Macaca mulatta: one gene and its partners. The protein of the gene in region 1 interacts with the protein of each later gene in a pairwise test. Links are inferred from orthologs where the notes say so. Each region holds a gene or a part of one and is shown in the gene's direction. Other genes may lie near its edges.

The links.
Region 2: the proteins of CPSF7 (region 1) and NCK2 interact in binary tests that used the Homo sapiens proteins (3 or more experiments, as listed by UniProt). The two-hybrid records come from large-scale screens. The link is inferred for Macaca mulatta from reciprocal best matches to the Homo sapiens genes CPSF7 and NCK2.
Region 3: the proteins of CPSF7 (region 1) and ARMC7 interact in binary tests that used the Homo sapiens proteins (3 or more experiments, as listed by UniProt). The two-hybrid records come from large-scale screens. The link is inferred for Macaca mulatta from reciprocal best matches to the Homo sapiens genes CPSF7 and ARMC7.
Region 4: the proteins of CPSF7 (region 1) and RBM10 interact in binary tests that used the Homo sapiens proteins (3 or more experiments, as listed by UniProt). The two-hybrid records come from large-scale screens. The link is inferred for Macaca mulatta from reciprocal best matches to the Homo sapiens genes CPSF7 and RBM10.
Region 5: the proteins of CPSF7 (region 1) and CLK2 interact in binary tests that used the Homo sapiens proteins (3 or more experiments, as listed by UniProt). The link is inferred for Macaca mulatta from reciprocal best matches to the Homo sapiens genes CPSF7 and CLK2.
Region 6: the proteins of CPSF7 (region 1) and SNRNP25 interact in binary tests that used the Homo sapiens proteins (3 or more experiments, as listed by UniProt). The two-hybrid records come from large-scale screens. The link is inferred for Macaca mulatta from reciprocal best matches to the Homo sapiens genes CPSF7 and SNRNP25.
Region 7: the proteins of CPSF7 (region 1) and ATXN1 interact in binary tests that used the Homo sapiens proteins (3 or more experiments, as listed by UniProt). The link is inferred for Macaca mulatta from reciprocal best matches to the Homo sapiens genes CPSF7 and ATXN1.

What each region holds. Positions count from the first base shown.
Region 1 is NC_133419.1:12,615,896-12,619,836, forward strand, and holds the start of CPSF7 (cleavage and polyadenylation specificity factor subunit 7), read left to right. Parts: upstream 1-1,141; 5' UTR 1,142-1,361; exon of another isoform or gene 1,362-1,563; intron 1,564-1,827; 5' UTR 1,828-1,882; coding exon 1,883-1,936; intron 1,937-3,941. Other genes in the region: SDHAF2 (succinate dehydrogenase assembly factor 2, mitochondrial), read right to left, coding at 776-970.
Region 2 is NC_133418.1:13,841,967-13,846,072, forward strand, and holds the start of NCK2 (cytoplasmic protein NCK2), read left to right. Parts: upstream 1-1,306; 5' UTR 1,307-1,533; intron 1,534-4,106. UniProt on the Homo sapiens protein: Adapter protein which associates with tyrosine-phosphorylated growth factor receptors or their cellular substrates. Maintains low levels of EIF2S1 phosphorylation by promoting its dephosphorylation by PP1.
Region 3 is NC_133421.1:84,791,292-84,795,431, forward strand, and holds the start of ARMC7 (armadillo repeat-containing protein 7), read left to right. Parts: upstream 1-1,340; 5' UTR 1,341-1,413; coding exon 1,414-1,504; intron 1,505-1,587; coding exon 1,588-1,731; coding exon of another isoform or gene 1,732-1,763; exon of another isoform or gene 1,764-2,135; intron 2,136-2,436; exon of another isoform or gene 2,437-2,470; intron 2,471-4,140. UniProt on the Homo sapiens protein: As a component of the minor spliceosome, involved in the splicing of U12-type introns in pre-mRNAs.
Region 4 is NC_133426.1:47,202,978-47,206,477, forward strand, and holds part of RBM10 (RNA-binding protein 10), read left to right. Parts: intron 1-1,060; coding exon 1,061-1,130; intron 1,131-2,933; coding exon 2,934-3,007; intron 3,008-3,500. UniProt on the Homo sapiens protein: Binds to ssRNA containing the consensus sequence 5'-AGGUAA-3'. May be involved in post-transcriptional processing, most probably in mRNA splicing. Binds to RNA homopolymers, with a preference for poly(G) and poly(U) and little for poly(A).
Region 5 is NC_133406.1:111,713,784-111,718,083, forward strand, and holds the start of CLK2 (dual specificity protein kinase CLK2), read left to right. Parts: upstream 1-1,500; 5' UTR 1,501-1,804; intron 1,805-4,016; coding exon 4,017-4,186; exon of another isoform or gene 4,187-4,219; intron 4,220-4,300. UniProt on the Homo sapiens protein: Dual specificity kinase acting on both serine/threonine and tyrosine-containing substrates. Phosphorylates serine- and arginine-rich (SR) proteins of the spliceosomal complex.
Region 6 is NC_133425.1:1,245,364-1,249,386, forward strand, and holds the start of SNRNP25 (U11/U12 small nuclear ribonucleoprotein 25 kDa protein), read left to right. Parts: upstream 1-1,223; 5' UTR 1,224-1,286; coding exon 1,287-1,430; intron 1,431-2,775; coding exon 2,776-2,866; intron 2,867-3,093; coding exon 3,094-3,199; intron 3,200-3,838; coding exon 3,839-3,913; intron 3,914-4,023. Other genes in the region: POLR3K (DNA-directed RNA polymerase III subunit RPC10), read right to left, coding at 851-961.
Region 7 is NC_133409.1:166,497,879-166,502,033, forward strand, and holds the start of ATXN1 (ataxin-1), read left to right. Parts: upstream 1-1,355; 5' UTR 1,356-1,483; intron 1,484-4,155. UniProt on the Homo sapiens protein: Chromatin-binding factor that repress Notch signaling in the absence of Notch intracellular domain by acting as a CBF1 corepressor. Binds to the HEY promoter and might assist, along with NCOR2, RBPJ-mediated repression. Binds RNA in vitro.

The sequences.
Region 1 (3,941 bases):
TTTGAGACCAGCCTGAGCAACATAGTGAGACCCTGTCTCTCCAAAAAAAAAAAAAAAAAAGAAAAAAGAAGGAAAACAACAAAAAACAAACAAAAAGGAAACATCCTGAGACAAACTACAACCCAACATATACAAAATTGTGAGATGCCACAAAAGCAGTACTAAGAAGGAAGTTTATAGTGTAAACACCTACATCAAAACAGAATAAAGATCAAGTCCCTGGGTCTATAGGAAAAAAAAAAAAAAAAAAAAAAAAAAGAACAAAGACAAGGATGGGGGTAGGAGGGGAAGATAGAGACAAAGTTCGTTACTTTGTAAGAGCAGGATAGGAAAAAAGAATAAGTTCCAGTGCTCTATTACATATTAGAGTGACTACAGCTAGTAACACTGTACTGTGTATGTCAAGATGGCTAGAAAAAGATCTTGAAAAGTTATCACCACAAAGAAATGATAGAGATTTGCGGTGATGGACATGCTAACTACGCTGATTTGATTATACAATGTACACACGTATTAAAACATTACACTGTACTCCCATAAACACGTTCAATTATTATATGTCCGTTATAAACAAAACAAAGAGCTCAAGATACTATGTGAAACCACGAAAGGCATTAACGACTAAAGAACGCGGAGAAGGGGCGTCCAGAGGAAGTTGGGCTAACCCCACCTGCGACGTAGGTGAGAGGTGAATTGAGTCTTGGACGATGACTTATCGTTTAAGCAGTTATTTCCAGACCGGCACACAGTAGGCTCACCAAAGAATGGAAGCGACCTTTATTTCCTGAGCTGCAGAATCGGCCTCTCCCTGGGCCTGCCCTTGCCCTAGGCTATCGGGCAGACGAACGCTCCCCAAGATAGAGACCACAGAAGAAGACAAAGTGTAATCCGCGCTGCCGCCCGCCCCGGACGCTAGAACGTTCTCTCTCCTCACCCGCGATGAAATCGAGAACACTGTGGACACCGCCATTTTCCCCACCTGCACCGGAAACCGGCTGCCCGGGCACTTCCGGGAACTCCTAGCCTCACGGCCAGCCGACTACGGCAGCCACGGAGGACCTGAAGCGGAAGGTGCGTCCTTGCGTATGCCGGAAGTGGCGGTGCGTGTGACGCCGGCGGCGGGGGGGGCGGGACCTGGGGCGGAGAGCGGTTCGCGCGCTTCGGGCCTAGTCCGGACTCGCCGCTGCCGCCGCCATATTCCCGGTAACGGGGGCGCGCGGCCGGGGGCAGGTTGGGCCGGAAGAGGGGTCCGGGCCGGCGCTGAGGCGGGGAGGGGGTCGGTTGAGATGGGACGGCCGGAGTCTGCGGGCGGAGGGAGGCGCGGGCCTTTGAGGGAGGGGGCAGAGAGAGCGCCGGGCCGGGTGTGTGGGGAGGGAGCGGGGCGGGCCTAGCTGGGGGCGAAGAGTAGGCCTGGGTGGGGAGCAGAGGCGGCTGGAGTAGCTTGACACCCGGGGGCCCTGGCCGGAGCTGCTTTGGGGCCTAGGCAGGTGCGACGGACAGGGGATGCGGGCTTCGCCGCGGTCTTTCTTCGCAACGCGGTCCTAGGGCCCCTAGGAGCCGAAGGTGGGACTTTTCCGTCGCGCCATAGGCAGCTGCGGCGCCGACGCGGCGCTACCCGGGTCGGGCCCGAGGGTGATGGGCAGCGACCCCCGGCGGCCTGGGAGAGCGGGGGGCGGCGCGAGGCCGGGGGCGGGGCGGAGCGGGTGGGGCCGAGCTCGGGCCGCTAGGATGCTGCGTCTCTGGAGATGGGAGGTTAGCAACCATTGCCCTCCTCCCAGGCCAGGACCCTCATGCCTTCTAATTCTTGCATTTTTCCGAATCCCGCAGTGGCATCTTCCTTACTTTGTCCATCCTCCGGGCTCGCGATCTTCCTTCCGGAGCCATGTCAGAAGGAGTGGACTTGATTGATATATATGCTGATGAGGAGTTCAACCAGGTGAGGGGTCATCAGGAGCTTTGGGATTTTCCTTGATCATCTGAGGAATCATTTTCAGCAAACTGGCAGTGGTTTCAAGCTGTACCAGTTCTAGGCTTGAACACGCGTCTATCCGGTCTAAAATTTTTCCCCTGCAGAAACTTTAAAGACTACACTCCGTTCCTCTTTGTGTTAATTTGAAGCTCCAGGCTTAATTTTAAAGGCTTTGATTTAAGAGCAAATAAAAAACAAGTGTAATAGAATGGTGAATCAACCTGTAGAATTTACTCCCCAGGAAGCCAAAGTTGGATATCAGACTAACCACACTTAAAAATCAAAAGTACATTTGCTACAGTATTCATGAGGACAGTGTTGATACCTGTTCCTTTACATTCTCAGCCTGCAGCTGGAGAAGTATAGTCCCCTCCACCGAAACAGTGCAAAGACAAAGTAGAAAAGATAACTTTAACATTTAGTTTCAACTCCATTCCAATTAAGTTTTACTTGCTTTTATAAGTAGTTTGGCCCGGGCGCGGTGGCTCAAGCCTGTAATCCCAGCACTTTGGGAGGCCGAGATGGGCGGATCATGAGGTCAGGAGATCGAGACCATCCTGGCTAATACGGTGAAACCCCGTCTCTACTAAAAAATACAAAAAACTAGCCGGGCGAAGTGGCGGGTGCCTGTAGTCCCAGCTACTCGGGAGGCTGAGGCAGGAGAATGGCGTGAACCCGAGAGGAGGAGCTTGCAGTGAGCTGAGATCCGGCCACTGCACTCCAGCCTGGGTGACAGAGCGAGACTCCGTCTCAAAAAAAAAATAAGTAGTTTGACTCCAGTCATGAGAAGTCCACAGGCATTTTGGTATAATAAATTGTATTGATTAACTTTAGTCTTTCTAGAGGGAATAAAAGGGTAAAGACGTTAGACACACCATTTAGATGACAGATATAGACTCATGCACAGACCCTCAGTTGGATTTGTTTTTATTGTACCAGGGAACATTATACAGAAATTTATCTAGAGCTGGGCACGGTGACTCTTGACTGTAATCTCAGCTGCTCCAGAGGTTGAGATGGGAAGATTGCTTAAGGCCAGGAGTTCAATACCAGCCAAGGCAACATAACAAGATGCAGTCTCTACAAAAATGTAAAAAAAAAAAAAAAACACAACCAGATGTGGTGGCTTGTGCCTGTAGTCCCATCTGCTCTGGAGAGTGAGGCAAGAGGTACTCCCTGAGCCCAGGAGTGCAAGGCTGCAGTGAGCCATGATTGGGCTGCTGCACGCTATCCTGGGCAACAGAGCAAGATCCTCCTGACTCTTAAAAACACAAGAAAAATTCTCTCAAAGGAATAATCTTCCATGCAGTTCAGTTTTTCCGTCTTGAGGTCAGTTCTCAAGAATGTTCCAAAGTTTCTACTGAAAACTTACTAATACGTTGCCTGGGTTATTTTCAGCACCATTCTACATAAGTTAAGCTGGCTCTTCCCATTTGCATCTTCCAGTGGGTACACATAAGGACCTGGTAAGAGCGAGTAATGAATGGGCTAGAAAAGGAATGTTCCCTGGTTGGACCCTGACTTTGATAGAAGGCAACAGAAGAGGCGGATACATGCCATTTATTTTTCACTTGGCATAAGTTTACATTAAAGTCTATTTTTTGATGCATTATGGATTTGTAACGTGGAAATTATAAACCATACACAAAAGTAGAATAATATATTGTACCCATTATACAGCTTCACCAATTATACATTTTAATGACAGGTTTCTTGTCTCTGCTCTGGCTAACTATGGTCCTTTAAATATAGCTGCTGGTTGTCTTAAATACATGAATTTTCCTCTTTTTTTTTTTTCTTTTTTCTTGAGACGGAGTCTTTCTGTCACCCAGGCTGGAGTGCAATGGCGCGATCTCGGCTTACTGCAACCTCTGCCTCCCAGGTTCAAGCGATTCTCCTGCCTCAGCCTCCTGAGTAGCTGGGACTACAGGCGTGGGCCACCACGCCTGGCTAATTTTTGTATTTTTGATCG
Region 2 (4,106 bases), on another chromosome or scaffold:
CCAGAGTCCTTCACATAGGAGGTAGGTAAATATTATCTCCCCATTTGACAGATGTTAGAAAGGCTAAGACCACCTGTGCAAGGTTACACAGTTCAGGAAGTCAACAAACACTCACCTGTCTGACTTCAAAGCTACACTGACTCTAGTTACCTGTCCTTGGGTACTTCCTTTCTGGAAGGAAGCAGATGACTGAATCAAATAATACTGCCTTGTAACCTTGGATAAATTATTATTGTCTTAATAGTAAGCAGAGACCAGCAGCCTAAGAAAGAATCTCATTAACATGGATGCAGGCTATCCTGCCAGGAAATCAGAATCATTTGAATATTAGGATTTCCTTTGGGAAACCATATGGGGAGGAGAAAAGACATCCGGATGCATGTGTCTGTGAAAGGGAAACTTGCGTCTTTCCCCTTGCTTTTGGGTTTTAATCTTCCAAGTTTGTTTATAGGCTAGCCACAACTTGAGGCTGGGTGAGCTGAACAGTCCCATCATTAGCGACACTCCTTCTAGGGGCACATTCGGGCAGCTCCTCTTCGGATCCTGTCCCCATGGGTGTGCAACCAGGATTCCACTGGCTGGGGCTGGCCTGGATGCCTGGGAGGCAACAGAGGTCGAGTTTCTTCTCCCTTTAGGAAGTGCCTCAGACAGGGATGATGGACTAAAAACGTGTCTGGTTGGGAAAGTAAATAGATGCAAGACAAATAAATAAAAATGCCCACAAGCAATTACAAGGAGGAAGTGACATTTTTATTTAAGTCACTTTTCTGATGGACACCAGGCCTGCTTAGCTGAGTGCCGTGGGAATGCTTCCGGGAGGGGGGCGGCTGCCCAGCAACTACAGCTTCGCGATAAGGACATCAAACAAACAAACAAGAGGACGCAAAGCCCACCCGGCAGGCATCCCAGGCTGGAAGTTGCAGCCTATGTTTTCACTCTCCTCCCCACCCACCCAGCCTGCCCCCCACCGCCCGCGCGCAATTTCGGGCGTGGGGACCCTTTCCTGTCCCCGGCGCCGGGCCAGTGCTGCGCCTCCAGAGCGGAGCGTCCCGCAGCCCCGCGCTATACCCGCGCCCGTACCGAGACCCGGGCGCGGAGCCTGGCGGCGCCGGGGGGCGCCCCAGGTGGGTCTCGGGTCCCCGCCCCGCCCCGCGTGCCCGGGCCTGGGCCGGCCCCTGGGCGGCGTCACGGCGCTGCCGGGGAGGAGCGCGGGAGGAGGAGGAAGAGCGCGGAGGAGGCGGGCGCTGCGCGCCGGGGGAGGGTCGCCGCCGCCGCCGCCGCCGCCGCCGCCGCCGCGGGGATCGTCAGGCCGGAGCCGCGCGGCCGAGCGGACGGCGGGCGGAGGGGAGGGCTCGGCTGCGGGGAGGCTCGCGGCGCCCGGGCCGGCGGGGTCCGCCCGGGCCGGCAGCGTCCGCCCGGCGGCGGGAGGAGGGAGCGGCGCAGACAAAGAGCGGCGCCTGGGCGGGCGCAGCGCGGCCGCCGCCCCGGGACCCGCGCCGCTGCCCTCCGGCTCCGCGGGCGGCCCACAGCGAGGTAAGCACGGCCAGGCGGGCGCGGGGAGGGGGCCACAAACTTGGGGTCGTTGGGCGGAGTTGGGAGCGCGGCGGGGCTCGTGGGCCGGGGTGCGCCCGGGAAGGGGCTGCGAGAGCGGGTCGCCTCCGCGCCCCACCGGTACTCTCGGCCCCGCCGCGGCCTGGGCGCCCCCGACTGTGGGCTGCCGGGCATCTCCCGGCTCGGCACCTTCCTGCCCGCCTTCCCATCCCCAACCCCCACCATCGCGGCCCGGCGCAGAGGCGGGGACGCCAGCCAAGGGCGCGGGCGGGGATCAGGGCAGGGGGCCCGGCGGCGGGGCCCGGGGACTGGAGACCCCCGGGTGCGCAGGCTGCGCCTGGCCTGCGGGCGGGCGGCTGGCACGGAGCTCGGGGCTAGCGTGGGACCGTGCGGTGGCCAGGGTCGCCAGGGCGCGTGTGCCGGGGAAGAATAGCCGCGGATCGCAGGGCCCCGGCGCAGGGACCGGGGAGGCCGCGATCGGCCGGGAGAACTTAACTGTGTTTATTACAACTATTTATGATCGCGCACAAAGCTGCTGTCACATCGCATAAAGGAGGTCTTCGCTTCGGCGAAGGGAGCTTTTGTGCCCGGCTTCAGGCTCTGCGCCCTGCCCCAGATTTACAGGACTCTTACAGCCACCTGAACCAAAGTTTCTCACAACCGCTCGGCCCTCTCGGTGTTTTTCAGGGCGATTTAATCACCCAGTGGTTTTGGAAAAATTTGATGTGTGAGTTTTAAGGCATGGACGGTAACTCCCTTATGAGCACAGTTAGCTTGGCATTGTGGGGAGGGGTTTAATTTGCAAAACGCTGTAATTTGTAGACAATAAGGATCTCTGTGAAGGTCTGCGCTGGATGCTAGGGGTCATTGGCTGGTGGACCCCAGGCACCTGACTTAAACTAGTTTTGTAGCAGCTTCAGGGACAAAGCCGAGCGGGCGTGGAGTCGTGTAGTCGGCCTTGGTCACTTCTCACAATTCAGGTTGGCAGATTCCTCTTTATTTGGCTTTGTTTATTTTGCCAACAGGTTTAAGGCCGCTTCTGCCAAGTTTGCATATGCATAATGGGATGAGCAGGCCCCAGTGTGGGCAGGAGGGGGCCTAAAATATCGCATGGGCCAGCTCCATCCCTCGACCCAGAAAGAAACCACCCTGAGAGGCCGGTGGGCGTGGCTTGGTGGGACCCACAGGTAGGGGAGTCCCTTCCTGGCCCAGGCCCAGTCCCCGCTTCTCGGAAGGGATTTTGTGTAGTAATGAAAGTGATTCAGGGTGTTTTTCATGCCTCTGTTTTAGATGTAGTTATCAAGTCTCAAAAGTGACGGAAAATGAAATTAACCTGGGCTGCTTTACCTTACCGAAACGGAACTGTGCTTGTGAACACTCCCTCAATTCACTTTCCAAGCTTCATAGATAAGCAGGTGAATTAGTAACAGGATTCAAGCCTATGCGAGTTTTATGTAAAGAGAATGGCGGTCATCGGACACGTGGAGAAGAAATTGACTTCACCTGGAGATTGGGCTAGACATGGAAGTTTTTTGATGTTTGGAACAGGGATTTCCTGAGAAGCAAGTGTTAACCTTGCTTGTGAAGAAGTGAACACAAGGGAAAATCCTACCTCAGTATATTCTCCCCTGGAGGTTGGTTAGATGTAGTTTTGATTGGAGAAGGTGGCGGAATCTTAGTGGTCTTCTGGTGGCTACTTGAGGCTGAAATGGAGAACTTTAGGCATAGGAAGCTGTGGAGGTGCCTGGCCCACTTCCTGTCCGGGAGGCCTCTCCTGGATTCTGAGCTTCTTTCCTGCTTCATAAACATTCAGGGGGATTGATCATGAAACACTGGATGAAATTGGGTCACAAATTACCATCAGGAAGAGTTGGCTGCTGCATAAGCCCCTCTGTCCACTTGTGGAGAAACTGACCCTGTTAACCGTGGGGCTCGCTGAAGGTGCCTTGCAGGTGGCTGTGCTCAGTTTTCAGGCTTTGTGTTTTGCTTAGGACGCGCTGCATACTTAAATCTTCTTCATCCCTGCTCTCTTTGACCCTGACATATTCCCAGGCTCTGTCATTTACATTTTGGGTTATTTAGCTTTTCCAACAAACAGCAGATCTTATGTACACAGTACTATATTTGAGAAATGCACTATCATCCATTTTAAATACACCGGAAATCTTCCTTGCATGTGCACAGACTGGATAACCTTTTAAAATACCCTAAGACTCCGCGAATGGCGCAGAATGTACTGGAGTCCTTTACTTGATCAGTTGAGCTAGCTTAATTTGCCCTGGCTAGAGCAGGCTGTGCTGCTCTATGGGACACCCATTTTTCTAACTGCTCGGACTGGCTTGCCATGTGCACTGGGGGAGACAAGGCTTGTGGAATTCATTCTCTGACATTAAAAATGAGGCTTAATGACAAGAGCCCAAAATTGCTTCCCGGAACTGCAGGGGAGGATGATGAGCGATGTTTGGGAAAACTGTTTTCACAAGTGAACTGGAAACTCCCCACAACTGACTTCAGAGGCTTAGGAAATTAGTTTTCCCATCCAGAGGGATGGCAAG
Region 3 (4,140 bases), on another chromosome or scaffold:
TCATTATCAGATATTTATGCATGAGAACCCTCTTGTCATGGTTTTCTCCGACTCTGTCCGGGTTTTTTTGTTCTGTTTTTTTAACACAAGTGACTCCAATTAGATTAACAACTTTTGCATTCTCAGGACACTCACAGCCTAAGCCACCTCTCTACCCCTACGTTGTCAAACGCGATGGGAGTGTAGTAAGGCCACCTCCTTCCCTGGTGCTTTGTTCCCTGTAACCACGAGTAGTAATCCATCACACACCTGCTTCCCGAGAATCCTCGAGAAGGAATCGGCCGAAGGGCTTCAGCATCCAGAAAGCCCCGAAAGCGCCACAAACAAGGCTCTTCCTCCGGCTCCCCGGTGCTGCCCCGGGCGCGCGCCATCCACCCGGCTGACAAAAAGCACCAGGACATGACCCCGTCCCCTTTGATTTCTGTCCAGAGGTGGCGGACTCACCTCGGGGCTGGGATAGAGGACGGGTCGGGGTCGCTACGCTTTTTGCAAAAGGGTCAAAAGACTGATGGGGGTGGGTAAGGAGCTGACGCCCGCGCTCTAAAGGGGCGCCCCGCCAGCCATGGGGATCCTGGAGGTGCTTCTGCCTCGACGTCCTCCCAACATGGGTGCTGCCAGACTCCGTTGCGCTCCTGAGTTGCTCCTCACGTCATTCCAGCCGCCCGACATGGGTGCCTCACTTTCGGCTTCTGGGCCACGTCGGGGCGGCGGAGGACCCGGGGGGCCGGGCGGGAGAGTGGGAAAGGTGGGGCGGGAAAGCCGAGAGAGGCCCTCACCCGCCTTCCTGTTGGCGGGGGCGGCAAGTGGGTTTCTTTCTTGCGTTCAGATTTTGCAATAATTTGCAGCTGGACATAGGATATGGGAGACAAGGCTGCTCCTCGCAGTACACCCACCCACGCCCATACCTCCCTCGGCGAAGCGTGTCGCAGCGGGTTCCAGCGCAGGCTAAAGAGCTTCCGCAGCCAGAAAACCGAAAGCGCGCCGCGCACGCGCGCCAAGGAGTTCGGCGACGGCCCCGCCCTTCGCCTGCCTCGTCCCGCCCCTTCCGCGCCTTGTAGGGTGGGGACAGCGCGGCTTCCGCCGGGAGCCTGGAACCGAGCCCGGCAGCCGGGGGCTGGGCGCCAGTACCCACTCCGCCAGCCCCAGCCCGCAGACGGTTCCCTGTCTCCCGCGCCCCAATTTCGATTTTCAGACCCAACTCCTACAGGATTCTGAGACCCCGGCCCATCTCCCCACATTCCATTTCCAGCTGCAAATTACTGCAGAGTCTGAACCCAAGAAAGAAACCCGTTTGCCGTCCCCGCGTCTTCCCTCGCCAGACAGGTGGAGAGTGGGTGAGGGTCTCGCTCGGCTTTCCCCCTGCACCTTTCCCACCCGCCCGCCCGTCCCTGGGGGTCCTCCGTCACGCCGGCCATGGCCCAGAAGCCGAAGTTGGACCCCCACGTCGGGCGTTTGGGATACCTGCAGGCGCTGGTCACGGAATTCCAGGAGACCCAGAGCCAAGGTGAGAGCCACGGTGGGACCAGGTGACAGGGTCGGCTGTGACCGCCGCCCGGACCTGGCTCCAGTGCCGCTTTCCCGTTGCAGACGCCAAGGAGCAAGTCCTCGCCAACCTCGCCAACTTCGCTTATGACCCCAGCAACTACGAGTATCTGCGGCAGCTGCAGGTCCTGGATTTATTTCTCGATTCGCTGTCGGAGGAGAACGAGACCCTGGTGGAGTTTGCTATTGGTAAGGGCTGGGCCCGTTCGCTAGATGGCTAAATGGGCCGGGGTGAGGTAAGTGAGTTACAAGTGAGTCCTTGGGGCCTGGCGTGGTGGCTCACACATGTAATCCCAGCACTTTGGGAAGCCGAGGCGGGGGGATCACCTGAGGTCAGGAGTTCGAGACCAGCCTGGCCAACATGGCAAAACCTCGTCTCTACTAAAAGTACAAAAATTAGCTGGGCATGGTGGCGAGTGCCTGTAATCCCAGCTAAGCGGGAGCAAAAATTAGCCGCACACAGTGGTGTGCACCTGTAGGCCCAGCTACTCTGGAGGCCGAAGCAGGAGGATTGCTTGAGTCCGGGAGGCAGAGGCCAAAGTGAGCTGAGACTGCGCCACTGCACTCCAGCCTGGGCGACGGAGTGAGACCATGTCTCAAAAAAAGATGTTTTAAAAAGAGCAGTTTTGTAGCCAGGCGCGGTGGCACACGCCTGTAATCCCAGCACTTTGGGAGCCCGAGGCAGGCGGATCACCTGAGATCAGGAGTTCGAGACCAGTCTGGCCAACATGATGAAACCCCGTCTCTAACTAAAAATACAAAAATTAGCCGGGCGTGGCGGGCGCCTGTAATCCCAGCTACTCGGGAGGCTGAGGCAGGAGAATCACTTGAACCCGGTAGGCAGAGGTTGCTGTGAGCCGAGATGGCGCCACTGCACCCCAGCCTGGGCAACAGCGAGACTCCGTCTCAAAAAAAAAAACAACAACAATTTCAGGTGGGTGAGGTGGCTCACACCTGTAATGTCAGCACTTTGGGCGGCCGAAGCAGGCAGATCACTTGAGTCCCGGAGTTCAAGACCGGCCTGGCAAAAGCCCATCTCTGCTAAAAAAAAAAAAAAAAAAAAAAAAATTAGTCTGGCGTGGTGTCCCAGCTACTCAGGAGGCTGAGGTGGGAGGATTGCTTGAGCCTGGAGGACGAGGCTGCAGTGAGCTGGGATTGGGCCACTGTACTCCAGCCTGGGTGACAGAACGAGAATCTGTCTTAGAAACAAAAGTAACTCATATTTAGTGTTTTCATATCAGGAGAAGCAGAGATGGCTTGCAGTCTGTAACTTACGGCTTCTTTTGTAGTTATGATCTTAAGACCTATTGATTTATTCACTGGGCAGATATTTACTGGGCATGTACCGTATATGTAAACTACTGCTCTAAATGCTGGAGTATGGTGAACAAGTTAGGGGAAGTGTTTGCCCCTCAGGAGCTTACATTCTAGTAGGGGGGACAGGTGGTTAGCAAACAAAAAAGATGATGCTCAGCAGCAAATAAATGGGGTGATGAGAAACAGCAGTAGAAGGTGGTGGTTACTTCTGTTTTGGCCATCATGAGAAAGGCATTTTAGCAGGGACACAGCATGGGCAAAGGCCTTAAAACAGGAAGGAGCCAGAAGGAAGATGAATGTGGCAGGATCGTTATAGTGAAGTGGAGAATGGCACAAAAAGAGGATAGAGAGTTAAGCAGCACCAGAGCTTGCCGGAGCTTAGATCTAGGCCGTGGGAAATAGTTTGAAGCAGACAAAATTTTGAGAACAAACAAAAATCCCTTTTTCAAGCCATGCACAGTGCTCATCTGTAGCCCCAGATAGGAGGATCGCTTGAGCCCAGGAGTTTGAGGCTGTAGTGTGCTACGATTGCATGATTGCACCTGTAAATAGCCACCGCACTCCAGCCTGGGCAACACGCGCGTGATCACCTGGCTGAAGTCTTGTCAGGCTTCTCCACTGTAAAATTACTCTTTCTTTCCCCTCTTTACGTATTATGTATTATACCCATTGGAAGGAAGTCACTACATAAATTATCTTAAATCTTTTTCTTTTTTTTGAGATAGGGTCTCACTGTGTCACTTAGGCTGGAGTACAGTGGTGTGATCATAGTTCACCATAAATTTAAACTTCTGGGCTCTAGCAGTCTTCCTGCCTTAGCCTCCCGAGTAGCTGTGACTACAGGTGGACACCACCATGCCCGGCTTTTTTTTGTTTTTAATTTGTTTTCGAGAGGATCTCACTGTGTTGCCCAGACTGGTCTCGAACTCGGCTTTTTTTTTTTTTTTTTTTAATTTGTTGTCGACACACGGTCTCACCGTCTTGCCCAGACTGGTCTTGAACTCCTGGCCCCAAGAGATAAATCGCTTGTAACCCTAAACAGACCCTCATTTCATAACACTGATTCTTGAAGGCCCCAACCAGGAATGCAAATGTTCCCCCTTCCGGTTTGTCTCATTGCCTCTTTGTGGTTTGTTTCTTTATCCCCTTTATTTCCTATAATCTAGAAATTGGGTTGAAAGTCTTGATAGGATCAAGTAACACATTTTATTTTATTTTATTTTATTTATTTATTTATTTATTTATTTTTTGAGACGGAGTTCGCTCTGTCGCCCAGGCTGG
Region 4 (3,500 bases), on another chromosome or scaffold:
AGACAGTAGCTGGTTGCTGACATTTGTTGAGAATGTATCTCAGGATGGGCCATGTGTTAGGTGTGATTCAGTCCCCATGGCATCCCAACAGGGAAGGTACTGAGTGGGAATGTGACTTGCCTGAGGTCTTACAGCCAGTGAATGGTGGAGTGGAGCTGGAGTCTGAACCCAGGCAGCTGGACCCCAGAGCGCACTTTTTGCTGCTTCCTCAGCCTTCCCTGAGTTTGGAGTCCTGATAAGCTCTTCTGTGTGTTTTTCCTTTTCATCCTGTGTATGGGTGTGTGTAAGTCTAATCTCCTGTCTTGTTTAACCTGGTGGGGAAACTGAGGCCCAGAGACATGAAGACTCCTTCCCAAGAATGGTTGGCATAGGCTCCTGGTCCTCTGTGAGAGACCTCACTGGCCTAGAGACCCTGCCTCACCTGTTCCAAATCCTGAATTGCCTCTGCAGTCTCGCTCTGGCCTACTCCATCCAGGAAGCAATCCCCAGGACTATATCTTTTTGCTTTTTGTCTCCACCCTAAGTTATTGCTGCAGTCATGGTCTAGGGTACATGGCTGGGATTTGCTCAGACTCCTGTCCTCCCCAGTTTGGCATTTATGTCATGGATCTCTTTTGACGCAAGCTGCAGGTCAGCGGGGCAGGGGCGGGGGCGTGGGTTATCCCCTTGCCAAGGGCAAGAATTACTTCCCAGGTTTCCTTACTTCGTGGCTGCCACTGAGCCCTTTGTCAGATCACCCTGCCCACCGTTCTTAAATGGCTGGCTCACTTGCTTTCTTGTTCTCTGTGTCCCTGAGGGTCGTCCTGCTGCCATGCTTTACCTTGCTCTGTGCCCATTTCTTCATTTGATTCACTTTCTGCAAGTCTGGGGCTGAAAGTCAAGACTGTGAACTGGTGTGGGCCTGGGGCTGTTGTCACTCAGGGAAAAGCTGCGAAAGAGGCAGAGGAGACTGTGTGCACATCACGGATGACCCCTTGGGATCCAGAGGCCTCCAGCCAGCCTCAGGTACCCAGTGGCCCCATTGTGCTGAGCCTGCCCCACTCTGTATCTCCCCATATAGATCCGTGGCCAGCTGCAGTCCCACGGCGTGCAAGCACGGGAGGTTCGGCTGATGCGGAACAAATCTTCAGGTGAGCTTTTGTTCCCAGTGCCCTCCCCTTCCAGTGGCCAGCCTCAGCCTCGGAATCTCCCTCCTACCTCTGCCTTCTCCCCGACTCCCTCCACCACCTTCCTGCCACAGCTGGGAATGGGCAGTGTGGGGGGTGCCCTCTCTTCTCTCCCCTTCCCCACACTCTCCTCACAGCTCCAGCCAAAAGCCTCTTCAATGGGGCTGTCGGGGCAGGGGTGCAGCTCTGAGCTGAGCTGGGTGCTCCCCGGGGTCACGGCCAGGGCCAGGCTCCCAGGCATCTCCTCTCTGGGACTCTTGAGTATCTGAGATGGTAACCCCCTCCCATACACTCCCTTCCCTCTCCTTTCTTCTTCCTCTGCCCCTCACTTTCCCCTACATTTTTTGGTAACAGCCTCTGACCAGAAAGTAGCTCTGACGTGGTGGTCCCACGTGTGTGTCCCAAGGGGGAAGCAGGGGATGGCTCTTATCCAAGGACACATCCCAAGGAACAGCCAGGACTTCCTGGCCTCGCCTGTTCCCTCCCTCCCTCTTGCAGGCTGCTTGGAGCTGGCCTGAGGTTAGCAGGGTGGTGGTGGGGGGAGTTGTCTCTACAGGACCTCTGCCCAGGCTCCCCAAGGCAGGCACAGTGGGGCCTCACTCTGCCTGGGCTTCTCTCTCCATCTCTCAGTCTCTCCTCCCCACACCTCCATCTCTCTCTTTCTCTCTCTCTCTCCCTTTCTCCCTCTCTCTCTTTCTCTCTCTGCCCCCCCCCCACTTATATTATTCATTCCATCCTCCTATGCATCCTAACGGTTATTCTTTTGAACATTAAGCATGCCCCCCCCCCAAGCCCCTCTCATCCAAGCCCTCCCCGTGTATCTGCCTCTAAAGGACATGCTATCCTGAGGCCTCAACCCTGAATCCCTTTCCTAAGCCTGGAGTCTTGGTTGCATGTAGGTCTTGCTCTGCATCACCCCAACTACACCACACATGGACAGCTTCTGGGTCTCTCTCTCCCCAAGGTGTTACAGGTGCAGACCCCTCGATGGCCCTGGGCGCTTCTCCCAGGCACCCATTGATTCTTACCTCTAAGGTCCTCCTGGCCAGTCCTGGCCACCATTCTCCTTTTGTCCAGGGGAACCTGGACTGTTTGTGGCTGTAGTCTCCACCCTGTGGCCCTGAGGTGGCTCCCTAGCGAGGCCCGCCTCCCCTGCGCTGCGGTGAGGCTGAGATGAGGTCGTGTCTTTAACCGCCCCTGGTTCTCAATGGGCCAAGAGCCTTCCTAGCCTCACAGAGCAGCCTGGCCCAGCTTCTCTTTTGCTCCTGTGATTCAACACCTGTTACAGGACCCCTCCTGGGTGCCCCTGGCCTCGAGCCGGGTCCGCCCTGGAGTTACGTATTGTGGCTTGTGTGGAGCCAGCAGCCTGCCCACCGTCCCCTACCTCCTTCTCTGGAGGCAGATCTCTCGTATTCTTTCCCTCCCGGCTGCTTCTCTCCGTCTCTGTCACCCCAGGCTGGCTCGGCAGGTCTGCCCGAGCCCTATCTCTTTCTCTCTTCCCAGTTGGTGTGTGTGTCTCTCCCACTACCGACCTCTGGTCTCTGTTTTTCTCCCTCCGCCTTCCCTGCCCCACCTGGCCATCTACCTTGCCCCCCACACCTGCTAGTCTCTCTCTCTCTGATTGCCTCTTTCTCTTTCTTCCTTTCTCCTCTTCCCCTTTCCCTCTCTCTGCCCCCGTCCTCTCCCCTCGGGTCCCGCCCCCGGGAACGCCGTGTGTCCAAAGCTGTTGACTAACCCACTGCGTCTGTATCTGAATGCTGTCTCCAGGTCAGAGCCGGGGCTTCGCCTTCGTCGAGTTTAGTCACTTGCAGGACGCTACACGATGGATGGAAGCCAATCAGGTTGCTTTGCCGCACTTGAACCCCCCCCCAAACAAATACTACTTTGTAATCGAGCGCTCCCCATCGCCTGATTCTTATGGACACAGTTCCCTGCCCTGTGGCCCTGTGTCCCATTCCCCCTGCCCCCTCTCTTCCCTTCCTGACCCTCACTATCTCCTCTTCCCATCTCTCGCTACCCCACTGGGCTTCCCATCCAGAGCCCACACTCACCACTGGCCCCTTCCTACCACCAGGCACTAGCGCTGCCCCTTCACCTCTCCCAGCTGACCGTTCAGAGAAACAGCTGCCAGGGTGGGTTCTTTCACCTAGCTTCCCACTCCCCCCGGGCGGGGGTGGGGGTGGGGCACCCCTCTCTGGGGTTAGCCAGAGCCAGGACCTCATTCTACCCTCAGGACCACTGGAAGTCCTGCCAGTGAGGAGCTTAGCTATTGGCACAGTCACTAGCAAGACTCATTTTGTCAGCCCCCTCCCTGCATGTGAATTTGGCCCTTTG
Region 5 (4,300 bases), on another chromosome or scaffold:
GCTGGAGTGCAGTGGCACCGTCTCGGCTCACTGCAACCTCCGCCTCCCGGATTCAAGCGATTCTCGTGCCTCAGCCTCCAGAATAGCTGGTATTACAGGGACCCGCCATTGCACCTGGCTAATTTTTGTATTTTTAGTAGAGACGGGGTTTCACCATGTTGGCCAGGCTGGTCTTGAACTCCTGTGCTCAAGTGATTCACCTGCCTGGGCCTCCAAAAGTGTTGGGGTTACAAGCATGAGCCACCACACTTGGCCTAATTTTTGTATTTTTTGTAGAGTCTGGGTTTCGCCCTGTTGTCCTGGCTGGTCTCGAACTCCTGTGCTCAATTGATCCACCCACCTTGGCCTCCCAAAGTGTTGGTATTAGTATTACAGGCGTGAGCCACCTCACCCAGCCTTCCTGTTCTTTTTTAAGATTTAGTAAACTGGCCAGGCACGGTGCCTGATGCTTGTAATCCCAGCACTTTGGGAGGCCGACGGGGGGAGGATTGCTTGAGCTCAAGGGTTCAAGACCAGCCTGGGTAACAAAGTGAGGCACTATCTCTACAAGAAAAAAAAAAGCTGGGCGTGGTGATGCGCGCCTGTAGTAAACATATGTGTGTGTACATATATATGTTTTGTTTTGTTTGAGACAGAGTCTCGCTCTGTCACCCAGGATGGAGTGCAATGGCATTATCTTGGCTCACTGCAACCTCCGCCTCCCGGGTTCAAGCGATTCTCCTGCCTCAGCCTCCTGAGTAGCTGGGATTACAAGCGCATGCCACCACGCCCGGCTGATTTTTGTATTTTTAGTAGAGATGGGGTTTCACCATGTTGATCAGGCTAATCTCGAACTTCTGACCTCGTGATCCGCCGGCCTCGGCTTCCCAAAGTGTTGGAATTACAGACTTGAGCCCCCGCGCCCAGCCCTAGTAAACTTATATTTCTCACACATTATGTAAGCCACTTTAGGATACAGTTCTCAAGTGAGTCCCCTTTTTCGGCACCCGATTCTCTAACCCTCCATTGCTCAAACCTTTCCCCCATGGCTGTGACCCCACCCCGAGTCGTGCATAACTTTTGCTGATGACAAAAGGTGGCAGACTTTTGTTCTGGGGATAGGTAGGTGATGTGTTTTAAGAAATGGTTATTTTCAGGCTATGCAGAAGAATGAGACTTCACCATCAAGCCTCACTAGAGTCGGGCTTGCAGAGCAGCGACACTGTATTGATAATGACAATCCTTTCTTTTAAACTCCAAACCTAACTAAGCCACACGTCTCCATGCAAAGGGTAAAAGATTGAAGAGGGAGTGGGAAAGGACAGGAGGCGGGGCATAGCGGGCCTGGAAGGCTTCCAGCTTGTCCCTGTGGACCCTCCTCGCCCCTATGAACTTCCGCCCCCAGTACCTCCGAGGCTCTGACAGGCTGACGCCTGCCAGCTACGTGAGCACGTGGTGGCGCGCGCGGTCCTGGGGGCGGTGCCCAGGGGGTAGCTGGGAAGCGACGCAAGACGTGAGTCCGTGCGTGCGTGCTCGCTCACGGCGGCGGCGGCGGAGCGGAGAGGCCAGAGCCGGAGACCGAGCTGGGATCGGGCCCCGGGCGGGGGCGGTGCGAGCGGCGCCAAGCAGATCTTAGGGGCGGGGACGGAGCCGGGGCGGGAGGGACTGAAGCGGAGCCCGGGAACGGGGCGGGAGGTCCCAGGGTCCCGGGTTGGGGGTGTGGAGCAGCACTTCGTCGCCGCGGGGGTGCCGGGACTCCGGCCGCAGTGCCGCCGCCATCACGGACTTCCTGTGGGACAAGCGCACGGGCCTCGCCGCCAGAACGGTGAGCGCGCGGGTTGGCTGACCGCGGGGCCGCGCGAAAAGATGGCGACCGCGGGGCGGGCGGGGTTAGGCTTGGATTGGGGGCAAGGGACGGGGGCGAGATTTGGAGAGGAGGAGAGTTGAGACCTACGAAGCGGCGAAGTAGGGAGATGAGGGGAAAGGAGGTCGGCCTGCATTAGATGTACTGAGAAGACCTGTAGGAAACTTGGGCGGAGCCAGACTAGAAGGGGTGATAGAGTAAGGATGGGAGTGGTTCCAGAGATGTGAAGGAGTGGAATATCAAAGTTGGACTCAGGGGTCCAATCAAAGCTGGAGGGGAGGAATACATCACCGCGTCACTTGGAGCATGCAGGAAGAATTTGCCTGTAGGAGTTCTGGATTTTCTGAGTAAGAAAGGAAAAAGCAAAAGATTTCAAACTTTAGAAAGGTAGACTAGTGATGCTTTGAGGGGAAAGTGCTGTGAGGCCGTTTGATGGTAGTATGTGGTGAGATGGCATTTATGTGGCTATGCTGATTCGGATGGCTGTGCTGGGAAAATCTTGTGCTTGCATCTTGGTATGCTCCCGGCCGCAGTTACACCAAGAATGCATCAAATACCACCCTCCTCAATTTGGGGAGGTTGGAAAGAAGTAATACAGAATGGTGGTCAGACGTTGGAATCGTTAAACCTTTTGCATACCCGATTCTCATGCACTACCACCAAGACTTCTGTCCCTGGGCCTGTTTCATTTTATTCTGCCTTCTTATTCTCATCTTCCTGGATTGTGACAGTGATTTTTTTCTTTTTTCCTTAAAGGAAAAAAAGGATTTGTGAACCATCCCATTCCAATTCCATTAACTGGAAGGTGGCCAGCTGTCAGCTAAGTAGGGCTGATATTAATAAAAAACCACTTACTGGCCAGGCGCGGTGGCTCACATCTGTAATCCCAGCACACTGGGAGGCCAAGGCGGGCGGATCACCTGAGATTGGGAGTTCGAGACCAGCCTGACCAATATGGAGAAACCCTGTCTCTACTAAAAAATACAAAATTAGCCGGGCATGGTGGCGTATGCCTGTAATCCCAGCTACTCGGAAGGCTGAGGCAGGAGAATCGCTTGAACCCGGCAGGCGGAGGTTGCGGTGAGCCGAGATTGCGCCATTGCACTCCAGCCTGAGCAACAAGAGCAAAACTCCGTTTCAAAAAAACACACACACACACACACAAAACAGTTATTCTCTACATCTCAAGCACAAGAGTGGAGGGGCTAGATGGGATGCTGACTGTATTTTGTGGCCTACTACATTAAAACCTCTCAAGGTAGAGTTGGCCAAAGATGTGAGAGATGATTAAATTAATTCAAAGGGCCCGACCCAGATCCTTGGAACTGATAGTATTTGGCGTTTACCTGGTATATGTAGAAACCTGGGAGACTGGATTCCTACCCTCAGGACACTGATAGTCTACTTGGGGAGATAAGACGTAGTCTTAGTGAGTGTACGACATGTATCATAACTGTAAACCAAAGCTTTATTGACTTGTGAGGAACTCAGCATCGCACAGATCTATATCTTAGATCCTGACCGGGGATACACTGTGGCAGTCTCTATCTTCGTCATACACTTCCCGTTGTAATTAACTCTGTCCTAGACCTGAAAGTCTTCATGGAGCTGTGTGTGAAGAAAATAAGGATAGAACACTTGAACTGGCTGGGTGCGGTGGCTCACGCCTGTAATCCCAGCACTTTGGGAGGCTGAGGTCGGGAGTTTGAGACCATCCTGGCCAACATGGTGAAACCCCGTCTCTACTGAAAATTTAAAAATTAGCCAGGAGTGGTGGCATGTGCCTGTAATCCCAGCTACACAGGAAGCTGAGGCAGGAGAATCGCTTGAACCCGGGAGTGGAGGTTGCAGTGAGCTGAGATTGTGCCACTGCACTCTAGCCTGGCCGCACAGGAAGACTCCGTCTCAAGAAAAAAATAACACTTGAACTGAGTGGAGGGTAATGAGGGATGGGTTTGGGGGCTTTCTAGAGTTTCAGCCAGAGTTAGTAGGTGGCTATACTCCAATAAGGAGGAATTGTAAGTACAGAGGAAGACTGAGGAAGTTGTTCGTGGTAAAAAGAGGCAGAAATAAAAGAGGGGAAAGCAGCTTAGCATCTTTTGAGCAGCCAGTCCTTGGAGGAGACTTCTGAAAACTCGGAACTTTCCTATTTCCACTTTCCTTTCCCTTCCAGATGCCTCATCCTCGAAGGTACCATTCCTCAGAGCGAGGCAGCCGGGGGAGTTACCGTGAACACTATCGAAGCCGAAAGCATAAGCGACGAAGAAGTCGCTCCTGGTCAAGTAGTAGTGACCGGACTCGACGGCGCCGGCGAGAGGACAGCTACCATGTCCGTTCTCGAAGGTGAGGCCTCAGGAAGAGATACTCAAATACAGGGTCACTCACTCATTATTTGTTCAACAAATACTAGTTATATGCTAAAACTGTTGCATTAAGTAGTTGGCTGAAGGTAGTGTC
Region 6 (4,023 bases), on another chromosome or scaffold:
TAGCTGGGATTACAGGCGCCTGCCACCATGCCCGGCTAATTTTTGTATTTTTAGTAGAGATGGGGTTTCATCATGTCAGTCAGGCTGGTCTCGAACTCCTAACCTCAAGTGATACACCCGCCTCGGCCTCCGAAAGTGCTGAGATTAGAGGCGTGAGCCACGGCGCCCGGCCAGGTCCTACTATTAATAAACAAAGCACACGATACATTACGTAATGTATTCGAAGGTAACAAGCCCTGTGGAAACAATTACAAAGGGAAGGAGGATACATTGGACGGAGGGGCTGCAATTTAAAATACGGTAAAGACAAGACCAATGAGTAAGGTGGCTATCTAGGGGAAGAGCGAAGTTAGTAACAGTAAGTGCAAAGGCCCTGCGAGCGCCATGTGCACCATGAGAGATCGTCCAGGAGGCTGGTGTTGATGGGGCAAAGGGCAATAGGACTTGAAATCGGAGAAGCAAGTCGGGGAGGGGGTCAGTGTCTGAACATGGTAGGCCCTGGAAGAATTCCGGCTTTTCGTCTGCACGAGCTGGGGAACGGCCGAAGGTTTCTGCGCACAGCACGGACCTACGTGCCTCAGCTTTAAGGGAATCGCCGTGGCCGCTGCTGTGAACGCAGAGGAGGGCGCAAGCGTGGGAGCAGGAACCCAAGGAGGCGGGAAACGGTGGGGCTTTCTGAGTGTGCTGGAGCCCACAGAAAGAGCCCACAGATCTGCTGCAGACCGGAAGGGGGAGCGAGAAAGAGCGGACAGAGGCAGACGCCGGGGCTGGCGGCGATGGCGCCGCAGTCGGAGGAAGGGGAAGGCCTGCGAGAGGCGCCCGCGGCCCAGCGCCGGCCTTCGGGTCCCACCTTGCGGGTGATGTTGTGCACGTAGGGGCACGTGTTGCAGGCGAAGCGGTGGCAGCGTTGTCCCTCCTCCACGATCAGCCCGTTCCCGCAGCCGGGGCAGAATAGCAGCATGGTCTCGAACCCCGCAGGCGCCAACCACCGGCAGCTCACACTGCCGCTCAGCGCCGACGCGCGGCCCGCCTCGAGCTTACATTGGTCCTGGCGGCCGCCTCGCCCCGCCCACCAACCAATAGACAGGGCGATTCTGCGCTCCCAGCCCTGCTGCTGGCTGTCTCGCACTTGTCATTGGTCACTGCAGCCGCCCCACCCCTCGGCGCACCAATGGCTGGGCGGCCTCGCTGGGACCGGCCGCAGTTCCTGCGCGTGCGCGCTTGGCCTCCCTAGTGCGTATGGAAGTGCCGGCAGAGACCGGCTGAGAGGTGCGGCCCTGGAGGAGATGGAGGCCGCGGGTGGGTCCGAGGCGCAAGAGGAAGATGAGGACGAAGAAGAGGCGCTGCCGCACTCCGAGGCCATGGACGTGTTCCAGGAGGGTCTGGCTATGGTGGTGCAGGACCCGCTGCTCTGCGATCTGCCGATCCAGGTGTGTGCTGGCGGGGGCCAGCGGGGCGGGAGTCGTTCCCCGGGGGCCGGGCGTCCGGGCGCGCGCAGCCTCTGAAGGTGCTGGTGGGAGGCTGCGGCCCAAGGCTGAGGAAGGCGCCTCTGGGCGTAAACAAGGGTCTTTACCTTGGCCAGGCACACTCGCCTGCGGCGCGAAGTTTAAAGAGGAACCAAAAACCTCATTAGTGAGTGACATTAAATGAAATTTTAATGTAATTGTATTTAGGGGGCTGGGGGGACAGGGTCTTGCTCTGTCGCCCAGGCTGGAGTGCAGTGGCGCGATCTTGGCTCACTGCAGCCTGCACCTCCTGAGCTCAAGCCATCCTCCCACCTCAGCCTCCAGAGTAATTGGGACCACAGATGCGCGCCACCACACCCGGCTAATTTTTAAATTTTTTGTACAGAGGGAGTCCCACTATGTTGCCCAGGCTGGTGTCAAACTCCTGGGCTCAGGCGATTCTCCTACCTCAGCCTCCCAAAAAGCTGGGATTATAGGTGTGAGCCACCCACTCGGCCTGTAATAGCTTTAAAAGTCAAAGGTGATGAAAAAAAAAAAAAAAACCCTACGATAAACGAAAAAACTTAGTTCCATTTGCCTCAAGCGTCAATATGCTTTGGCACGATACTTTTTATTTATTTGAGACTGAGTCTTGATTTGTCGCCAGGCTGGAGTGTAGTGGTGCGATCTTGGGTCACTGCAACCTCCCACTCCCGGGTTCACTACAGGAACGCGGCACAACGCCCGGCTAATTTTTTGTATTTTAGTGGAGACGGGGTTTCACCATGTTGGCCAGGATGGTCTCGATCTCCTGATCTAGTGATCCGCTGGCCTCGGCCTCCCAAGTGCTGGGATTACAGGCGTGAACCACCACACCCGGCCAGTTTTAAATGTTTTATATTTTGCTCATCATGGATATTTTAATTGCCTTGTATTTCTTAAATGTTGTATTAAAATATTTGTTATTACCGTTTTTTGTGTACACCTGCCTTACTCAGTCCTGGGCCCTGGCCTGGGTCCTGATGATCAGGGATACTCAGGGTGAACTGACAGGCCCCCACCCACCCCTGGGGACGGATCCTCATGTGCGTTTATTCTCTTGCCTGTTTTTTAACACCTCTTTCCCCCAGAGACTCTGTCCACTTTGGACATTAAAATGTGAGTGGAACATGAGATTGGGGCTCTGATGAATTGGGAAACCCTAACATATATGCAAGTACCCTTCCTTGCCCTTCGTAAAATGGAGCACCACTTTTTGGCCACTGTCAGCTTGTTCTTTGTTGTTGTAAAGACAGCCAGGGTTCCCACTTCTGCCCTTGGTCTTTTCTAGGTTACTTTGGAAGAAGTCAACTCCCAAATAGCCCTAGAATACGGCCAGGCAATGACGGTCCGAGTGTGCAAGATGGATGGAGAAGTAATGCGTAAGTGTGCCCTCCTCCCTTCAGGTTATGTGGTCCAGGCTTTCACAGCAGCAAAATGTAACAGTGCTGGTCAGCCTGCTCCGCAACTCACAGGCCATGCCCAGGGGTACTGGGGCAACCACAAACCTGCCCTGTGCACAGAGCTTCCGGGTTCCTTTCCTGCCATCGGAGGCTATGGCTTTGGGTTCTCACTGTGGATCTTCTCCCATCTGTGTCCGTGGTTGCAGCTGTGGTGGTAGTGCAGAGTGCCACCGTCCTGGACCTGAAGAAGGCCATCCAGAGATACGTGCAGCTCAAGCAGGAGCGTGAAGGGGGCATTCAGCACATCAGCTGGTAAGTGGAACGACAATCCCTTCATTATAGCCCTTCCTGGGGCTAGTGCTGTTCTTGGCACTGTCACCAGGCACCACCTGGAAACAGCTCTCAACTCTGCATGAGTACAGCACCACTGAAGTGATGAGCTCCCCGTCACAAGAGTTCAGACAGTGCAGGTCCTTCTGTGCCTGGGACTCCTGCCTCGGCCATCCCTAACATACTGCTTTCATCGCCATCACCCCATCCAAGCTGCTGGATATCCTCACTTGGGGACCCCGTCGGGCATTTCCAGTGTGTGTGGAAGTGGCCTCCCTAGTTATGGATGGTACACCTGTAGTGGCTACCATCCCCTTCTCACCTGGGTGCTGGCAGCCCTCGCTCTCCTATTGGATCAACTGTCCTGTTCACTGAGTCTCAACACTGTCACCTATTGCATTAGCAAGGTGTGTTTGTCCAAGCCGCCCCATACAGGCCTCTGAGAACAGAGCCTCCGTGCAGCCGCCTCAGAGCCAATTTGCACATTGTACAGAACAGCCCAGGTAGGGAGGACAGCTGCCCCAGGTCCCATAGGGCTGAATGCCTCAAGCCCACGCCATGCACAGCCACTCAGCTCACCATGCTCAGAGCGTGTGGTTTACCTGCGTTCCCCTCTTGCAGGTCTTATGTGTGGAGGACGTACCATCTGACCTCTGCCGGAGAGAAACTCACAGAAGATAAAAAGAAGCTCCGAGAGTAAGTGCCGGCCACATCTTGAGCTGTAGGGGACAGCTGTTCTGTTGACCCCTAGTCCCCCGTGCTCTGCCAGAGGGCTGCGGCTCACTCTCTGGAGGTAACACCCTCCT
Region 7 (4,155 bases), on another chromosome or scaffold:
ATTTTAGGTTTCTGCTTAGTGTTTTGGCATCTGGATTTGGGATTACTTAGCATTTTTAATTTACGAAAATAACCATCAACTTACACTCAATTGAAATATGAACATGTTGGTTTTAGTTGAGCTTGGGAATTAAAATCAAAGTACAGTCAAATCCAAAACAAATAATAGTAATTTTAAGACTTAGGTGACATAACCCTCTGGGGAAAATGAGGTGATATTGATGTGATGCTTTTTTTTTTTTTTTTAAGACAGAGTTTTGTTCTGTCACCAGGCTGGAGTGCAGTGGTGTGATCTCAGCTCACTGCAAACTCTGCCTCCCGGTTCTAGTGATTCTCCTGCCTCAGCCTCCCCAGTAGCTGGGATTACAGGTGTGCACCTCCATGCCTGGCTAAGTTTTGTATTTTTAGTAGAGATGGGATTTCACCATGTTGGCCAGGATGGTCTCGATCTCCTGACCTCGTGATCCACCCACCTCAGCCTCCCAAAGTGCTGGGATTACAGGCGTCAGCCACCACGCCCCGCCCCGACATGTTTTAATACTAACTACAGAAGTGTTGATAGCAATATCAGCTTTGAAGCGATGGTATAGTACTAGAATCCTAAGCATGACCTCTGTAAATGGTTGGCTTAAGTGCTGGCTTTAACATCTGTTGGCTGTATTTACTCTCAGTTTTCTTGTCAATAATGCAGAGGTAATCATGATTCCTGGCTACCTCACAGACTGCAATGGAGTGGGGCAATGTGTGTAAAACCCTCAGTCCAGGGCCCAGAACATAGTAAATGTTTAATCAATGTTCGTGATGACCTTGGCCATCGCTGATACCATGTCTTAACTGAGTTATTAACAAAGAGGCATGTGTAGTTTCAAAAGTGAAAGTCAGGCCAGAATGGTAAATACATGCACTGAATTTGCATAATTGTGTGGCTAGAAGGAGTCTTAGAGAAAGAGAGCATCAAATTCAGCATTGTTTCTGACATTTTCTGTGAAGAACTGACTGCTTTTTATTTCTTAGAAATCTTAGAATCATTAAGCAGAGAGGGAGGGGCAGGAACAGGATTATTTTGATAGTGGTGTCCCTAAGGTGAGGAGATGGGGTGGGAAGCAACCCCTGGCCAGAACCCACTCATCTCTGGGGATAGGAACCTGCTGTGTCTCTGCCTGCTGAGTTTTTGACATTGTGATTTAAAAATCTTGTGTGTGTGTGTGTGTGTGTGTGTGCACGCTTGTGTGTGTGCATGTGTGTATGAGAGAGATTATGCAATATGATGTTTCCCGTTTCTGTGACATCAGCAAATGTGAATGAAGACCACAGAAGCTGCCTAACTCAGTGGGAATATTGTTTTTATAATTACAGGTCTAGGCATTTTACATTGAGATTCTCCACTGCCACCCTTTCTACTCAAGCAAAATCTTCGTGAAGAGATCCGCCGCAAGGAACTGATAGCTTATGCTTCTCCATTGTGATGAAAGCACATGGTACAGGTAAACGTCTCCAAAATCTTTAAAGGAAAATAATTATCACTGAGTTGTAAAGTCCCCAAGATAGTCCCCAAGATACATATCTGGTTACATATCTGGTTACACAAACATACACACAGAACATAAATATGTATCTATTCACGTAGACTCCATTTCTCCCTACTGTCTCTTTTATAAAAATGAAACCCTTGCTTTTTTGTGGGAAAGGAAGTAACTTCTACTTATTTTGAGGTCACTGGTTAGGATAGATGACGAGGCGTTGCTGATAATTCTGAAGGCAGTGTTTATAAATTCACCTGGAGAGACGAACATCAAATGGTAGTAGAGATTGTAGAAGTAGTAGAGATTATTAAGAGTCTTGTTCCTCCTAACAATGTAATTCTGAACATCTTTCATAGCAACAGATATTTTTCTACAGTATAATTATTAATGATTGTATAGTATACCATTGAGTAAATATTCTAAAATTTATTTAATTTATATCCCTTCTAACTGGACAGTTAGTCGTTTCTAATTTTTTGCCTTTTTATTTTCTTGAGATAGGGTCTCACTCTGTCACCCAGGCTGGAGTGCAGTGGCATGATTTTGGCTTTCTGCAACCTCTGCCTCCAGGGCTCAAGTCACCCTCCCACCTCAGCCTCCCAAGTATTAATAGCTGGGATTACAGGTGCATGCCACCACACCTGGCTAACTTTTGTATTTTTTTTTTTATAGTGAAGGGGCTTTGCCATGTTGCCCAGGCTGGTCTCAAATTCGTGACCTCAAGCAGTCCTCCCACTTCAGCCTCCCAAAGTGCTGGGATTACAGGTGTGAGCCACCATGCCCAGCCATTTTATTGCCTTAATGGTGCCAAAAATATTCTTATAGCTCTGTGTTAGTTCCCATTGCAAATTATTTCCTTAGGCTAATTTCTTAGCAGCACACTGGTAAATGTAAGAGTTTTCAAGTTTTATGGCTTTTGGTAACTTGTTCCCAAATTACTTTCCAGTAAAGTCATACCAGTTTGTATTTCCAGAGGCAGTTTATGAGAGTGTCTACTTAATACAATTTTCCAATGCTGGGAATTTGGAAAACAAAAGGAGTTTTTGCTGACTGATTATGCAAAATGGTGTTTCCATGTATTTTGGGTTTTGGGGTGGGGGGGTCATTTGTAAGTAAATTGTACTGTTTTGTAGAACCTTCCTCCATTAGACAGTAGCATCTTTGAAACTTACCAGATTTCGACATTTCAGAAATAATATTAAATCCAGAAGTAGTGGAAGGGTCCTAGGGAATTTTAAGTTCTTCCTTTCTGGCCAAGTATTTTTAGACAACTATGAAATCACTAGATAGCAATCATTTTTCAGTGGAAAGCATAATGTTTCATTTCTTAAAAAGAGTGAAAAGGTATTTAATAAAAAATCTTTATTAGACATGTATCTGAAGTTATACTGCTCATTAGTTTAAAAATATGTATGTGCCTATATATGTATGTGTGTATGTATGTGTGTGTGTGTGTGTGTATATATATATATGTCCAATATCGGGAGCATGATTAAATATAACTATGTTAGTGCCATATGATAGAAAAGCTGTAGCTCACAGTAGATAAGACTGCAAGCTTCAGGCTGCCTGGGCTCAAATTCCAACTCTGCTGTTTTTTTGAAGTGTGACATTGGACAAGTCACTTTGCATGTAAAATTCAGATAATAATAGTACCCTTCTCCCTTGGGTGTTGCTGCAAATAATATATATGAAATGTTTAAAATCGTTAAAGCTCCTATTTCAGGAGTATTTAATCATTTTAATATAGAAGTAAACAAATGTAAGGTATTGGCATAAACCACAGTATAATCCTAATCTTGCAAAATTACTTTGCTTCTTTTTCCTCCCTCTTTTCATCCTCCTCTAGTATCTAAAAAAGGGTTTAGCATACTTCTGAATGGCTTTAATTTGTATTAGTGGAGTAATCCCAGTCCTGGAGAGGCTGCCTGATTGAAGTCTTCAAGTCAGAGACTCATTTTTCACAGAGCTTTGAAACCATAGCTGTCTGGATCACCTGGCTGGGGGAACCCTTGGAGCAGCCGTTGGTTAAGAGCAGAGCTTCCTTCCCACCCGGGGCTGCCTAGCTCCTGTGGTACAGCAAGTGCCTTGGGCACAGAGAGAGTCCCTCACCGTCTGGCACCATATGTGAGCTGCCCTAGTTGGCTCATCTCTTTCCGTCATTACTAAATAAGCTTCATTTCACTAAATAAATGAAAGAGAAGGTAGATGAAGAGACCCCCACACCCAGCTCTTAGGAAATGCATGCTTTATGCTACAGATGAACGAAGGGGAGGGCTGTAGGGTTGTGAATCTCTTGACCCTTTGGCTCCATCATAACGCTGAAAAGTGAAAGGAAAAGCAGTCAAAGAATCATTTAGCATGAAGGAGACAAACGCAGAATGACTTGTGTGTCTTCAGCCTCTGCCTTTCACTGGTTACCCTGCAATGAGCTTATGTATGTAGAGGCTGCATTCGTTTTGGCCCTAATTTCTGGTCTAATTTGAACAGCTCTGTATTTCTCAGCAGAAGAGGAATATCTGAATTCCTAATTAAGACATGTTAGCTTAAGAATACCTCCTTAATGTGTCATAAATCATTCCCCTGTAAGTGACTATGAGGATGAATAAGAAAACAAAACTTGGATTTATACA